Linked DNA regions of Struthio camelus. The protein of the gene in region 1 purifies or fractionates together with the protein of each later gene. This does not show direct contact. Links are inferred from orthologs where the notes say so. Each region holds a gene or a part of one and is shown on either strand. Other genes may lie near its edges.

Region 1 (7,608 bases):
ACCTTTCAATGCCTACAGGACGGATATAGAAGCCAGGGTGAATGAACTGACTGCATCACATCCTGTGTAGCAGGAGACTCTCTAAGATCACAGCAGCCTTCATTGAGGGGGACAATGTTTTTGTCACTGTGGGAGAAATTGTTGCCCGAATGCTGTATGTATCTTGATACTGGTAAGACTGGAATTTGTCTCACAGGGTTTATGCACGCTGATACATATTACGATTTGGAAAATAAAGAAACCTTTTGGTCATGCAAAACAAAAAGAAAGGAAATGTATTACTGTCAGTGCGTTGGGGCACTCAAGGCCAAATATACTTTAACTTAAGTTTAAAATAAACAAATACCATGAAGAATTACTAGTATATGAGGCAAAACAGCCTAAAGCTCTTGGAAATAACAATACACAGGCTGAAAGTATAGCTGAACACTGCCTCATCCTTTGGATTATTTGACTTCTAGTTTTCTGCAGTGGATGTCTGCTGCAGCGTAAAGAAGTTGGAGAGCAACAGAAAGTTCTTACTGAAATATGAGTGAAAAGAAGACAAAGTCATGTCCTTTTCGATGTCTATCCAAAAACAATTAGATACTACTTCCTACCATTAATTTTCTTGCCATTTTGAACTAAACTAGTACTTCCATTGGTCACATGTCACAGTTTGCATGTAAGGACATCTAATATGATCCTGCACTTTCATTTCCACATTGTGCACATTTGAGAACAAATAGATATTAAACTATTACACTAATAAAATGTAGACTTTACAATATTCAAATACGGCCTATCTCAGGTTAATGATGTCACAAGCATGTCAAGACAGACTTGTTTTCCACAATTTCTTTCATCTCAGTAGTATACCGTTTTCTCTGGAAATACAGCTTTCTCTGGAAATACAATCATAGAATCACAAAAATAAATAGGAATCACTATTTTAGATTTACCTTATGACTGTGATTCCAACTCTTCAGTTTTCATGGAGGTTTCACAGTTAAATTCCATATACAAAATGTCCTTTAGATTGCTTTTAGAGGAAATTGGAAGATCCTCAAAAGCATTATCTATTTAAATTGTATTTAACTTTGAAATGTTGTTGAAAATGGAATTATTATGTGTAAGTAGATAAAATTCTTGAAATTTCTAAAAATAATTTTGGTTAAAAACTTAGGGATTTCAGAAGTTTAAACCACTCTCATAACTTGTATGAAAGTGATCTACTGGACATTTCAATGGAGATCTGTGTTTATTGACACCACAAAAATAAACATTTGTTCAGTTGAAGGATCTGGTACATTCACAGTAGGCAGTAGCTCAAATATTCATTTATCATGTTCTAGTGGATTAAAACCGTAGCCTCAAGCAGAGTTCACTGCTTTATCTAATGCTGAGGTACGACGGGCATGAACCATGGATGCAGGATTTTCCCCTGAAAAGAAACAGCTGTAGCCTATATAAACATGTTCTGACAGCTGCGGAAAAATTATGACCTGATAATTGTTCAGAATTTTGTCATACTCCTAAACCGTGATTTCTGACAAACAGACACATGCTCTATCAAAGGGTGAGTCAACATTTTGCTGTGCATCTGGATACTTTTACAATATATCATGATTCTTTCTCTCTTGTCCAGATAACTCTCAGTATCAAATTCTTTGACAAATAAATCAGTACCCAAATCTTTGACAAGCAATGGCCATGACTCAAAAAAGTATATAAGTCTGTGACTGACACTTGAGGAAATGTTAAGATTTTGGCTGCCTCAGGCTTGCCAGTGGAATTATATGACCAAATTTACATCTATGTTTCTAATGGAGAAACCAGCCAAATACGTGTGATCTTGATGGTTTAAAGTACAGCTAACAGAAAATGAGATTAAGATTCTAATTAACATTTGTTATTGTGAAAACAACAACCATTTCTAAATGTCTTCTTGTTTTAATTTATGCACTTTCTGGCAGGCTGTGGAATTAATCTTAGTCTGAGAGGCTTAGAATGATCAGAAGAATTAATTTAGAGGATTGGTACAGCAATGGATCAGAATGATATCTTTGAAGCACTTTCTGCTAAAAAAACAACACTCAAAGCAAGTGACAGAAGTTTTTAAGCAGAACGGACTATTTACTACCCTGTTTGAATGAACATCCCTGTAATAACTAACAAACAGACCCATTCTTTTTCTGCAGTGCAATAAAATGGGTAGTAATTTTACACATACACACACAGAAGCTGGAGAAAATGGCAAAGGACATCTCTGACCCTTTCAAAGGGAATGTATCTTCCATTTGCCACAATTTTCAATTGGAAAACATGGCTGAATTTCGACATGCTTTGAAATAACTCAGTAAATAACATGAGTGGCCAAATTATCAAAACTTGTGACTTCTTTTTTCCAATGAAAATATTCTGAAAAGTAGGAGGCAGTTAAAAGTACTGTGGAAGAATTGTGAAAAGTAGCATAACTGTTGGAGTCTCTGTTGATTCTTAAGTTTGAAAGAAGAAAGTGTGAGATTTCTCATTTTTTTCAAAGAAATTGAAATTTCACTGAAAATATTATAAGCCATAGGACTTCTATTATTCATGCACTAGGGTAGAGCTTCAAGGGAATTTGTTACTCTCCATGTTGCTCGGTCAAACAAAGTCTTGCCTCTTTCTTCGCGGCATTAATATTTTTACGTGAAAGGTAGTGTTTCTAGTTAGTGCATAATATATACATATACATACACATGCCTACTACTCAGATGCTCTTTTTTTTTCTTATCTACAGTGCACTATACCTTCTTTACATTCAGATACTGCAATGCTGCTTTTTATATCTAGGACAAAATGTATCCTTCATGTAATACAGACGGTTGGGATAGGATGACTATTAGACCAATTATTTCCAAGTTCTCATGGATCGCAAAGAATGAAATGTTTGGTGCCGAATACTCAAGAGACTGTAACAGGAAGAAACCTAATAACTATTTTTACACTACTACTGCTAGATTAATATCTTATTTTTTAATTAAAAAAAAATGACTTAAGCTAGTTTCTTGAGACCTGGCACATCCCTCCATTCAGTCACCTATGACCATCACCTGCTTCCTGGTTTAGAAGTAAGCATGTCACCGAAGTTTCCCTTCCCAAGAGAGTATGATTACAGTGTTTTTCAGTACTCTCAGAAATAGTCCCAAGAAAATTGCTGCCTGAGGAAGCATGAGTATTTATCTCTAACAGGAGGAGATAATTCAGTAGGTGTAATTTCTGAGAGGAATATGCAAAGTGATGGAGCAGCAGGGCAGAAAAAAGTTCATGTTCCTTTTTCTAGACAGACAGGCACACTAGTAGTGGGGAGTGAGTGAGCCATATAGGTCAGTGCCTCAAACAGTGCATAAAAATGTTACCCAAAGGAGTTAGGGTGCTTTACTGTATTTGTGTGGCTGCACTGCCACCTGGTGCAGTCTCCAGTGATTACAGCCACTGTCCAACAGTGGGGTTTGCTTTTTTTTTTTTGCTTAAAAAAACCTGCCAAAGGACTACAGTGGGAAGACGCTGTTACAAATGCTAACAATTAGCTTTAGTTACACAAATACATATGAGGCTGTCAGCACACGGGTACCTGACCAAAAGCATTATCGGCAGTCAGGGGAAGTACTCTGTGTCAGCTGAATAATGATACTGCACAATGCAATTCTCCTGTCCCAGCTGCAAAGTAGCATGCCTTTGCCTTAACTACCATGACAGAGGTTTTTGTCATTTGCTATTAACTCATTACCTTGTAGTGCCTCAGTCCTTGAAAATGACCATCAGGTTTGTGCCACTGGATGACCCAGGTTTGGAAGAGGGGCCTTAGGAGCAGGCTGGGCAGCCTGGCCTGCCGGCCCTCAGGGCAGGAGTTCCTCCCTTGCCTCACGCTCCATGATGGCGCACTGATACTTACACATCGCAGGCAGATACTGCTCTCAGACGAGAAGACAAGCCAGGTCTTCCTCACTAGGCGAAGGACATCGAGACGCTCTCATGCCCCAAGGCCGGGAAGCGCGGCCCGGCGAGGGCTGGAGGCGACCGCCCCCGGGTGCTGCCCAAGCGGCGTGCGGAGCGGGCGAAGGCTGCAGCTGCCGCCCGCACCTAGGCCCTGCCACGCGGCCTGAGCTTGAGGGCAGCACGGGCTGCTGCCAGCGGCCTCCTTCCCTAGGCCTCCCCCTCTGACTCTTCCGTGTACTGCTAGCATCAAAAAGCTTTAGAAACAGTTCATTTTCCGTTGCTTTCCGGGGCTTGGCCTGCCTCCTTGGCTCCGCACTTGTCTCTGGAAAAGGGAGCACTTAACCTCCCCCTCCCCGCAAACCTCGGATTCTCGAGCCACCTGTGAAGGTTTCAACTCACTCCGGGGCTCCTTAGGGGGAAAACCTCGGTAACACACGCAAAAATCGCCCGATTCAGGGCGAAGCTGCCGCTGGGCCACTGCCCTCGCGTGACGCAGCTCCGGCCGCCGCCGCCGCGAGATGGCGCCGCCGGGGCCGCGGGGAGCCGCTCCCGCCCCCGCCCCCCGGGCCCCCGCCCCCGCCCCGCGTCACCGCCCGCCGGACTACACTTCCCAGAGTGCCCTCGGCCCGCCGCGCCGCGCGATTGGCTGGCCCGGCCGGAAGGGGCGGTCTCGCGCGCGCCCGCTGGCTGGTGAAGCGGCGGCGAGGCTGCGTGGAGCCCCCGTCCTAATGGCGGCGCTGAAGTACGCGGGGCTGGAGGACACGGACAGCGAGGAGGAGCTGCCGCCCGGTTGGGAGGAGCGGACCACCAAAGACGGCTGGGTTTACTACGCCAAGTAAGGGAGCGGCGGGGCGGGCTCGCCCGGAGCCTCGCGCCGCGGGGCATGGCGGGCGGGGGCTGCCCCCCTCTTCCCCTCAGCGTGGGGGAGGCGGGAGCCGCCATTTCCCGCCCGCCCTGCGCAGGGCGGAGCCGGCGGCGGAGCCGGCGCTTGGGTCGCCTCGGGGCGGGGGAGGGGGGGAACCATCTCTCCGCGACTCCGTTTCTGCTTTTGGTGCCCTCCTGGGGCCGCTGAGGATAAAAGCGTGGCAGAGGTGGGCTCGGCCCCCCGGCGCTATCCGCCCTGTGCGGACCTTCGCAGGTAGAAGGAGAGGAGGACTGGGAGATAAATCCTGCCTAACAGGGAGGAGATAGGTTAGTGCGGTACCGGCCACCTGGGCAGAGCCCTAGCCTCCCACCTTGTGGGGCAGCGATGGGGGAGCGCAGGGAGACGCGCCTGGCTACGGGAGTCCGTTGGAGCACGGCTGTGGCGGTGTTGCAGTGCGCTTTATGGCTCAGAGCGTACCTTCTGCGCCCTGTGGGGCGCGACGCAGGCAACCGAGCCTTACGCAGTATTGCAGTTCTCTTAGTTTTCCTCCTTGCAGGAGTAGAGAAGACAGTTAGTCAAGTTAGTCGTGGCACGTGCAGTAGAAATTAAAAACGCTAAGTGCTCACCCCCAGCTCTGCAGTATACCACGGCTTTGACAAGAGATACAAATTCGCCTGAGGCACCATCTGCTGTGCCGCTTTGAAAACTGTCAAATCCCCACCAGTTACAAAAGAGTGCTGGATTAACAGGATTAACTCAGTGGAATATATGTTTACATATTTTTCTCCTCTCTTATGGTTTCCTATAATTGTGCTGATCTTGGAGTCTGTGTTTCAGTTCATTTAAAACTAAAAGGCTTGCCCGCTCCCATAAAAAGGGGTAAAAGTATAGTGCAGACAGCTTGCCTTATCTGTAGTGAGTTGGCTTCTTCTTCCCAAACTCTGATCTGCAAGCGCTAGAGAAAATGTTTTTTATTTGATATTTAGCTTATAAGCACTGCTAATTCTGTCTAGTCAATTGCTGATCTTAGGTCAGGTTTCCTTATATGCTCCTTCCCTATAGAAGCCCTTTCAAAAAGGGAATCACTAGGTGATCTTAGAAAACCTGTAAAACAGTCAGGTATTGCCTCTTAGCATGAGCAGCCGTTTGTATACGAACAATTAATGTAGTAGGCGTGGTTGTTAGCTGCTGTGAAACTGAGTTAACTCTGTTTAAACTAATAACAAGGTCCATCTTCACTAGCTAAGAGTTTGCGAGTGTGGAAATACAGCTCAGATGGAAAAGGTGTTATGCTATTGCTGCCTGAATATAAGCTCTGCACCTGTATGTTACCTTTGCAGATTCTGAAAATATATTTTTAAACCTTATCAACGCTAACAACTTTAGGCTGAGCTACAGTAGAGTTACTTTCATTTAGGACTTTTAAAGGTCCTTTTGATGAGCTGGGCATGCATGTGGTTATTTACCAAAGCTCAGTGGTTGTGCATGCATGTGTTTGTGAAGCTATGAGAATTTGGTTATGTATTTTGCACCCGACAGGAGTCGGGAATAAATAGGTTAATGCTACACATCAGGTAAAATATGACAGTTTTCATTTTATAGGGGGACTCAGGATCATATTTATCTCTAGAATGTGAGTGTCCTGAAATTCAAGTGCTACTGCGGGTCATATATATGCACCCATTTAATCTTAGACCATCTAGCTCTGATTCCTATAATAGAATTGTGATGTGCTGCTTACTGTGGCTCAACTGCCTGTTTATTTTTTCAAGCTGAAATGAATTGCTTTTCTTGTATATGCTTCGCTGTTGATACCAGATCTTGAGTTTAGTGTTTATTTGTGTATGCATTCAGTAGTTCTTCCTATTCATTTCATACTCAGGCAGCTATTAGTTGGGACACTCTTTCAAATAATCCCTGCCTGACTCTTAAACGCTTGGTTATTGTCTCTAATAATTGATGGAAGATAAAATATTAATATCCAGACTGATTTCAGTGCTCTGGTTCTGTTAAGACCTTAACCTTGTTTGTATGCGCATTGCTTTGCTTACTAGTGTGCAGTGCAAAAAACTTCATGGTACAGTTAATGAATAGCTGATTCAGTTACAGTGATTTAAGTGGAAAAAATGATCTCTAAATTAGAAGATAAGATGTGATATCTTTATCATCCCCATTAAGTAGTCTGCTCTTCAAGGCCTTTAGGATAAGCTCTCCTATTTAAAGATGCGGTTGCTCATGTAGAAATCCAAACTTGTTTACCTTGCAGCTTACAAATCAACATGATTAGAAATTAGTTTTAGAAAGGGGCTCTTCTCTTTTGAAGACTCCTAATATTACTTTGATTAGCTTCTGATAGTCTTTTGCTGCTGCTTCTTTCTTCCCTTCCAAGGGCCACCATCTTGAAGGGAAATTGTCCAAGTCTGTTAATGTTATGCTTTAATTACTCAAGCGATTTTCTTTCTTTTTGTAAGCAACAAGACTTAGATTAGAAGTTAAATGTTGACTTGAACTTTTGTAGACTCCTATGCTGTCTGGCTAGTTATTTTTCCCTCAGAGTGTGGCAAAATGGAAGCCTGTTAGCTTCTAGCAGCACCTTTAAAGCCCCTTAAACGAGGGATTGGCATGTTTCTTTTTTTTTTTCCATGGGAGACAAGCCATGTTCTGTGCTGAATTGGAGGGGGGGAAAAAAAAAGCCCCTGATTGGAGTGCACCAGAAGGAGCTGTTTTAAATCTTCATTAAACTTTTTGTTTGTTTGTTTTCCAGTCACCTTGAAGAAAAAACA
Region 2 (7,436 bases), on another chromosome or scaffold:
AACAGCCCCTTGAAGACTCCTGAATTTCAAAATAGCCTGTTCTTTCCCCAGAAAGTGTCGTTTTTACTGCTAAGATACACTGGTGCAATAACATGCCTTTCCTTGAACTGTACAAGAAACTAATGACAGAGAACAATACTCTGGCGATCTGCATCTGAAAACCAACATAGGTCTTGGAAAGAATCAGAAGCGTTTTGCGTAGAAGGATCTGGATGAAGAATTAATAGATAACCCTAACTGACCAAAACTAAATGATATCCTCAGTCTTGCTGACACAGTCTGATCTCTGCTCCGATGTTCAGTCAGTGAGATCACTTGGCTGACTGAACTTAATATTTTGTACAGAGGGCAGGAATGAGATCAGTTACAGAACAGATCTCTTCATTGTAACTGTACAGGAAGCAGACAAGGGAAATATTTTTAGCTACTGGTTTTAAAGAAAGAAACACATTTTAGCGGGACTGTAAAAATCCATCTGGTCAGTATCCAGTTTAGGTCAAACTGGATACTTACTTCGCTGTGAATTAGATGTTCTCCATCTTAGTTCAACTGCACGTCTGTATAATACATACCTCCTGCCTCTGCTTTCACTGTACCCTTGATATAATTTGCTCCAAAAACAGGCTGCTTAATCTCACAATCTTTCAACAAATAAAAGGGCATCATGAAAGACTGCATAGCATCCTTTCCCTTTGATACAAAGATAACCTGAAAAGAAAAGAACATCACGAAGAGTGTTTAAAACAAGCAGGAAACACAGTTGAACTTCTTATTTGAAAAGAGTTTTCAATGCACTGAAGCTGCTTCCCACATCTGAAACTTCTAGTCAATTCTGCAAAGAGCAACAAGGCTAAACTAAAGCTTCAATGCAATAATGTAAAGTGCCTTCTAGAAACGTTATCCTTGCTCAGATAATACTCCTCCCAATTTCTAAAGAACTCCCAGCTCCACACAGCTATGATTTAGTAGCTTAACTGTTACATTCAGCACTTCCAGACCACTGCTAATTTCCAATCTTGAAGATGCCTGATAGAGTAAGCAGCTGTCTGTATAAGAACTAATCAGATTTTATCATCTTTTGACAAAGTGACTGGACGTGCAATGAATTCATAATGCTCCCCAGAGGGAGGGGATGAGCCATACTTCAAGCGGCAGTAGGTTATCCCAACTTTCATGCACTGAGAACATTTAAACACAGAATTGAAAAGAGCTCTTATCTCCTTAGGCAAGATAATGCCTTTTACTACTTACTCGGTAGGGAGTCAAGAAAACACTCCCTTTCTTGGTCCCTTTGAAGGCATCTGGCATAGGTTCGATATCACTGAAGGAAACTTCTATGTGATCATAGGTCATCAAAACGCTACAAACAAGACAACAAGAGAAGAGACACAGTGTTACAGCTCAACACTGTGGTTCAGCATGAATATAGTCTATTGACCAACCAAAACGAGCTTTAATCTCAGCCAAACGCTCAGCAGATGTATCAGTTTGACTTGTTTTTTTGTTGGCAGGAACAACTTAAGCAGTACTATCTACTTGTTCCCAGCCTTGTGCTTCTTCCTCAGTGTGCTGGCACTGCTACAGCCATTCGCATAGGCAGGTAGTGAATCTAGTCAATTAAACTGATCAAGATCTGATTTTTGTTTTTTTAAAAAACTTGCGTTGCATTTCTGCTGGATCAGTTCCCTAATTTGGTTTGCCACAAGCAACACAACAGAGGAAGGAGTGCAGAGGCAGGAACTGCTTAAGCTGGCTTATGCGACAAGGCTGTTGAGCGTCTAACCTCAGCTTAAGCACTTCTATCATAAAAACGCAATCAGAGGAACATCTCTTTTTTGTCACTAGAGTTTGTTAACCTGTGGTGTCCGCCCTGACTCCTTAATGCTCAATTAGAAACTGACCCGGTTAAAACGGGTGCAACACCCTTCTATGGATGCAGAAGGTAGCAGGTATTAACACAACATCCACACTAGACACGCTAACATTCAAAGCTGGACAAGCCTCTGCTGCATTTATCTTTGGCAACGTACATGTTACCATCCCTAGTCATTCGCCTTTCCCTTCTGCCAGTGGGTACTTGCCCCCACAGCAAAAGCCCAGGGAAGGCTGAGGGGGCAGTGGCTTTAGTCACTATACAGCATATGAGCCGAATCAACAATGCGCGCAGCTTGGGCTGCGGCACGGGCACGCATCCGCTTTGCCGGTTATAGCGCAGATAACTTCCGACCCCAGGTAGGCTGGCAGCTGGGAGCACATTAAGCAGCCAGATGTTTTACGTCAGCGAACGCAAACTTAAGCCACAGACAAGAGTTTCCCCGAATTCTCAGAGGAAGGTTCATACCCCTAATGGCAGTCAGGGGCATAACTCCCGTACCAATCTTCCAGCTGGCCTCACGGAAAGGAGCCCTGCGGAATGAACCCCTCTTCTGTCTCGGGAGCAGCTGACTGCCCCGCCGGGTCGGGACCGGGGCGCCGGGCGGGCACACGGGGCGAGGGCCGCCCACCGCCCGGCAGGCGGGGGCAGCTCCGTGGAGGCTTCCCGTTGCGCGGGCGGCAGAGCGGCGAGATGGGGGCCCGGGCTGGGGGGGGGGGGGAAGGGGGGCAACAGCCCGACCCCCGCCGGGGGGGGCACTGAAATGGTTAAACCCTCCCCCCACCCCGCTCCAGGCACGGGGGGCCCCGCCCCCACCCGGCCCGCGGCGCCCTAACGCTTCCCCCCGTGAGGGGAGGGAGGCCGCCCCCCTACTTCCCCGAGGAGATGGCGGCGGGCGCGGTGGGGGCACCTCACCTCTCGCTGTTGTTAACGATGACGCCGCCGCCCTCCGAGTGGTTCCTGTTCAGCGCCATGGCCGCCGCCGCCTCCTCGCAGCACCCAGCCTGCTCTGCGCCTGCGCCCGGCGGATAGCGGCCGCCCGTGACGTCACGACGCGACGGGGCGCGCTTCCCTCCCCCCAGCGCATGCTGGGAGTTGTAGTCCCCCTGCAGCCCAGCGGGCGCCATGTTCCCTCCTCAGCAGCCCTTAGCGCCCCGTGGGCTGCCCGGGACAGGCTGCAGCGGGGGCCGGGCCGGCTTGCGGGGCGCTCCCATCCCTTTTCTGCCCAGCATCAGGCCCCGCGGCCTCGCTCACCGCCTCCGTCGTGCCCCCCAAAGCCCCAGGGGCTCTAGCCATCCCTCAAGGCCTGGCAATCAGTAGGGCTTTTGTACAAAACAAGGGACGTTTGTGGGAGCGGGAGGCGGAGACGCGGCTCCCTCGCACCGCGCCGCTCTGCCTGGGCCTGAAAGCTTGTCTCTGTTCCCCAGCTGCTGAAGTTAGCCTCCTAAAATACGCTACCTCTCCCAGCACGTTCATGCCGACAACGGCTCGCCCTCGCTAAAAGCGGGAGCCCCGCCGGGCTCGCGCGTGGCCCTCAGGGCGCCCGCCGCGGCTGAACGGGGAAATGTTTGCGGTGGATACCGAGGCGAACGACAAATTCCTCCCCGCGCTGCCCGGCGGCACCACGTGCGCTTGGTGCCTTACAGATATTCTAAGGGATTCCAGCCGAGAGCCAAAAGTCAACTGTTTTATAATCGCTTTATACTCAATATTACTTTTAGTGGGCTAAAAGTCGCCGTTCATATGTTATTAAACCCCCTCTTTATGCTCTCTGCAGGGAGCAGCAGGGATAATCCGAAGATCCGCTCTCCTGCTCCTCGGGAGGACTCTCTGAAGCGCTGAGAAACCTGTTAATCATCTGGTTACATGTCCCTCTCACCGTATATAATAACACGGTTTAAGTTGTTTGGAGCCTGCTTGACTCGGCCGCGGTCTTCCTGGCTTCCCGTTTCAGACGGCTCCGTGGCGTTCGCACGGGCGCCCTGGAAAAGTTGCGCTGCCTGGGTAGGAGCCTGCAAAGCAAAAAAAAGCAAAGCAAAAAAACCTCTGGCACTGCTCAAATTGCCGTTTCGTCCTAAAACGCTGTATTTTGTTGCGGCTTGCACCGTCGCTTTTTCCCGAAGGCGTTTCCAGGCCAGCCCGCTAGCACATGAAATATTCGCTTTTCCTGGGATGTCGTCCAGTTTAACATGTAAAGGGGGAGCTGTTTGCATGCCACGTGCAACCATAAGTGATTTTAATGCTGCTTGGCAGGATCTCCCAGGGAAAAGCCAGAAATAAATGAAACGGAGACAGAATTGGACTCTCAGTAGGTGGCCAGGGCAAATTCAGGTATTTGGTAATGCAGAGTAAAAAAAGCATCTCAGATAGCTGGTGATGCTTTATCTAAAATGAGGCCCAGTGCCTTTCACAGCAAGGATGCGTAGAGTTTCCAACTGTTTTTCAATTCAGATGCTTGACGCACACGTTGTGTTACAGATGCTTGCAAACAGACTTTGGAGCCCAATATTAAATGCTCTCTGTGCAGAAATCACCCTGCTTTTGGTTTGTAAAATTAAGCCTTTATCTTCAAGAGAGTTAAACTGAAGGGACTCTAAGGCACGTCTGGAAGAAATCTGGGAACAGGAAAATATCTGTGGCATTTGCATAGCTATACTATGAGTATAGTCTACTGCCTCCAGGTGGGCAAGCAAGGAGGTGGGAGTAACTTTTAAAAAATTATGGTTGCATACTTTTGTTTAAAATAGAAGCCCTTTAAAGCTAATCAATCTGTTCTGAACATTTCTTCATATCAATAACCTATATACTATGCAAATATATTGATAACATATATTTTTCTAAATTACTTTTAATGGATTTGAACTTTTCCCTGCAGGGTTTGCAGCCCAGCCCCCTCCAGCCCTGCCTGAGCACCTAAGAATCAGATGGAGTAGGGGAAAGGAGAAAAGCTGCATAATGGAAACCAGATTTAAATAAATGCAGTGACATAATCTGTATAGTTCTTGGCAAGAAAAAAGCAAAGTTGTGCTTTTCATATCCGCTTTTTAATAAGCTGTAAGTTTCCCTTTTAAGAAACTGTTATAATAAACAGTCCTGATTCCTCTCCTATTAAAGGCAGTAGCAAACATCCACTCAGCTTCCACTGAAGTTCCCAGCTGAAGCACTGCCACCTCTCATGAGTCACAGCTTGCCCGATAATGGTGTTTTTCTTGTAGAGGTTTGGTATTAAGAAACTCAGCCTTTGTTTAAAAAATGCTACTGGTACAAGTGCTTGTGTGCGTGGAGATCTCTGGACCGCCTCATTACATAAAAAACGTTGGAAATTTACACTCTAAAAACTTAAAACTCTAAGGAAAAAAGTGCCTAAACTACTTAATTTCATTATTGTTAAGCTGAGGACAGAGGTAGAAGAGACCCAAAGAGAAAAGTGAGACAAGTTAATATTTTGAATTGCCCAGGACTGGCAATATCACTATTGGATTCTAGGATTCTTCCATTCCTTTTGCAATCGAGCAATAAAAATAAATATTTGGCTCAATTCCTTTTGACACACGTGGAAAATAAAATCTCTTGTTATTTTAAGCCAGATGTACAGGACACAGAAAAATAAACAGGAGGTAATCGGACAACTCTTCTAGTTTGGTATTTAAAGGAAAGACAAACCAAGAGCTATGTCTGTATAATATTTAATGGCAATTCATAGTCTCTAATATCATTATATTATTCCGTTACAGTTTCTTCACACACTGTAAAAGACTCTACAGTAACTGTATATTTAAAAAATAATCCTAATTAAAAAGAGGAACACTCTGTGACAGCAGAAATAACTCAGGAGAACACAGAAAGGCTATTTAAATTGCACAGTGCTATCTATCTAAACCCACCACACTTATCCTTTCATTTGCAGCAAAAATCAGAGATCCAGGGTTGGTGTAATGCACATTTCCTAATCATTCCAGTTTACACCACAAATTATTGGGAAGACAGGATCAACGTGTCTGAGCAAACTCTGGTCCAACAGCCTGGAGGATTGTTCCCATCTGAAATTGTTTAGAATTTGCTTTATGCCCTGAAACATGAGGATTTATAGCACTTTCAACCAGAATGAAAAGCAGCAACAGGAAGGGGAGGTTTTGATAATGCTTTCCAGCTGCATCACATCTACAGAAGCCCTTGAAATCCTCTGTAAAGCTGTGTATCCGCATCCCAGCTAATGAGGCAAAGATGAATTAAGCAACTGGCCCTCGACCGCAGAAAGCCAAGGCACCACCGGAAGCAGAGCCCGGACGCACGGCAATTCCCCCTTGGCAACAGGGACAGAGAGGAAAGGGAAAAGCGTAGGATCCCTCCAAGCCATCCCAGACCCTGCAGGGGTTCAGAGACTTGCATCTCCGCGTTGGGCGCGATGGAGCAGGGAGGGCTCCGCGGCTCCCCAAGCGCGCGGTCCCTCCAGGGTGTAATCGAGCTGCCTACGGCCATGCAAAACAGGGCAACGGCCCAGATCTGCTCTGTTTACTCTGGCAAAACTCCTCGCTGCAAACGGTGGGAGTTTCGCCTGAATAACAGTCACATTTGGGGCCCAGACAGAGCCGAGATGTTGGCCCACAAGCAGGATCTCTTCCTGCAGGCGTTCAGCAGAGATCAAGGTTACCTTCCTCTTCCTCTTGGGACACAGCCAAGCATGGGCTGTTGCACATCTCTAGCTCTTTAATCTGGTTACACTATTTCTGATAGCGAGTCCTCCCTGGTGTTAACAAAACAGCACCCATCCCTGTGCTATGTCACCGCCGACAGCTCACGCAAAGGCAAAGATTGGCAGGAAAGGCTGGCGCGAGGGAAACAAAGCGTTTTTGAGGCAGGAGCTCAGGACGCGAGGAGCACAATCCTGTCCGGACACGAGTCCAGGCAACATTCCCACTGACCAGCAAAAAACCGAGATTTCATCCGAAGATTTAGCGCTGAAAGACATACCTTCCCTTTTCCCACCGCTTGCAGGGTTTCAGGGCTCACCGCCTCCACCAGGTCCGAGATACGGGCCCCGAGAGCACCTAGGGCAACGACGGCTGATCCTTCCAGCCCTCCGTCCCCGTGCCCAGGGCACGGGGCGGCAGCAGCGCTCGGCGGGGGGCTCAGAGCTGGCACATCAGTCCGCCAGCTGCATTCGCACCCTCCCGTCCTCCCGCTGGGACCCGATAGCGGTGGTCGTCGCTGGCACGTCCAGCTTGGACGCGCCGCGGAGGTGGTAGCTTTGGCAGGGGGACGGACGGGCAGCCGGAGAGCAGCCCCTCTCCCTGCGGTAGCAGGATTTGGCAGCGCCGGTAAATCAGGGCCCTTTGACTAGTTACAGTAAAGGAGCTCTTTAAGCCTCAGTGTTTATGTAAATGCGGCTTTAGCTTTAAACCTCTTGGCCATGTGTCTGCCTTTTCTCCCTGGCTCCCCTTGAATATACTACTATGATTTCCAGCTCATCCTCTGGGAGATATATATTTTTTCATATATATAGATAAATGGGCCATTTTCCATGCCTTTGGAGGCCGATGCGTCATCAGTGACTCACTCATGC

The links. Proteins that work in one complex are often made in the same cells at the same time.
Region 2: the proteins of WWOX (region 1) and WBP2 purify together in Homo sapiens (affinity purification with mass spectrometry; 3 studies listed by BioGRID and IntAct, with this or other methods). This does not show direct contact. The link is inferred for Struthio camelus from reciprocal best matches to the Homo sapiens genes WWOX and WBP2.

Annotation. Positions count from the first base shown.
Region 1 is NC_090951.1:7,865,428-7,873,035, reverse strand, and holds the start of WWOX (WW domain-containing oxidoreductase), read left to right. Parts: upstream 1-4,597; 5' UTR 4,598-4,688; coding exon 4,689-4,795; intron 4,796-7,589; coding exon 7,590-7,608. UniProt on the Homo sapiens protein: Putative oxidoreductase. Acts as a tumor suppressor and plays a role in apoptosis. Required for normal bone development. May function synergistically with p53/TP53 to control genotoxic stress-induced cell death.
Region 2 is NC_090960.1:8,821,679-8,829,114, forward strand, and holds the start of WBP2 (WW domain-binding protein 2), read right to left. Parts: upstream 3,016-7,436; 5' UTR 3,001-3,015; coding exon 2,789-3,000; intron 1,361-2,788; coding exon 1,252-1,360; intron 709-1,251; coding exon 573-708; intron 1-572. Other genes in the region: E3 ubiquitin-protein ligase TRIM47, read right to left, coding at 3,771-3,885. UniProt on the Homo sapiens protein: Acts as a transcriptional coactivator of estrogen and progesterone receptors (ESR1 and PGR) upon hormone activation. In presence of estrogen, binds to ESR1-responsive promoters. Synergizes with YAP1 to enhance PGR activity.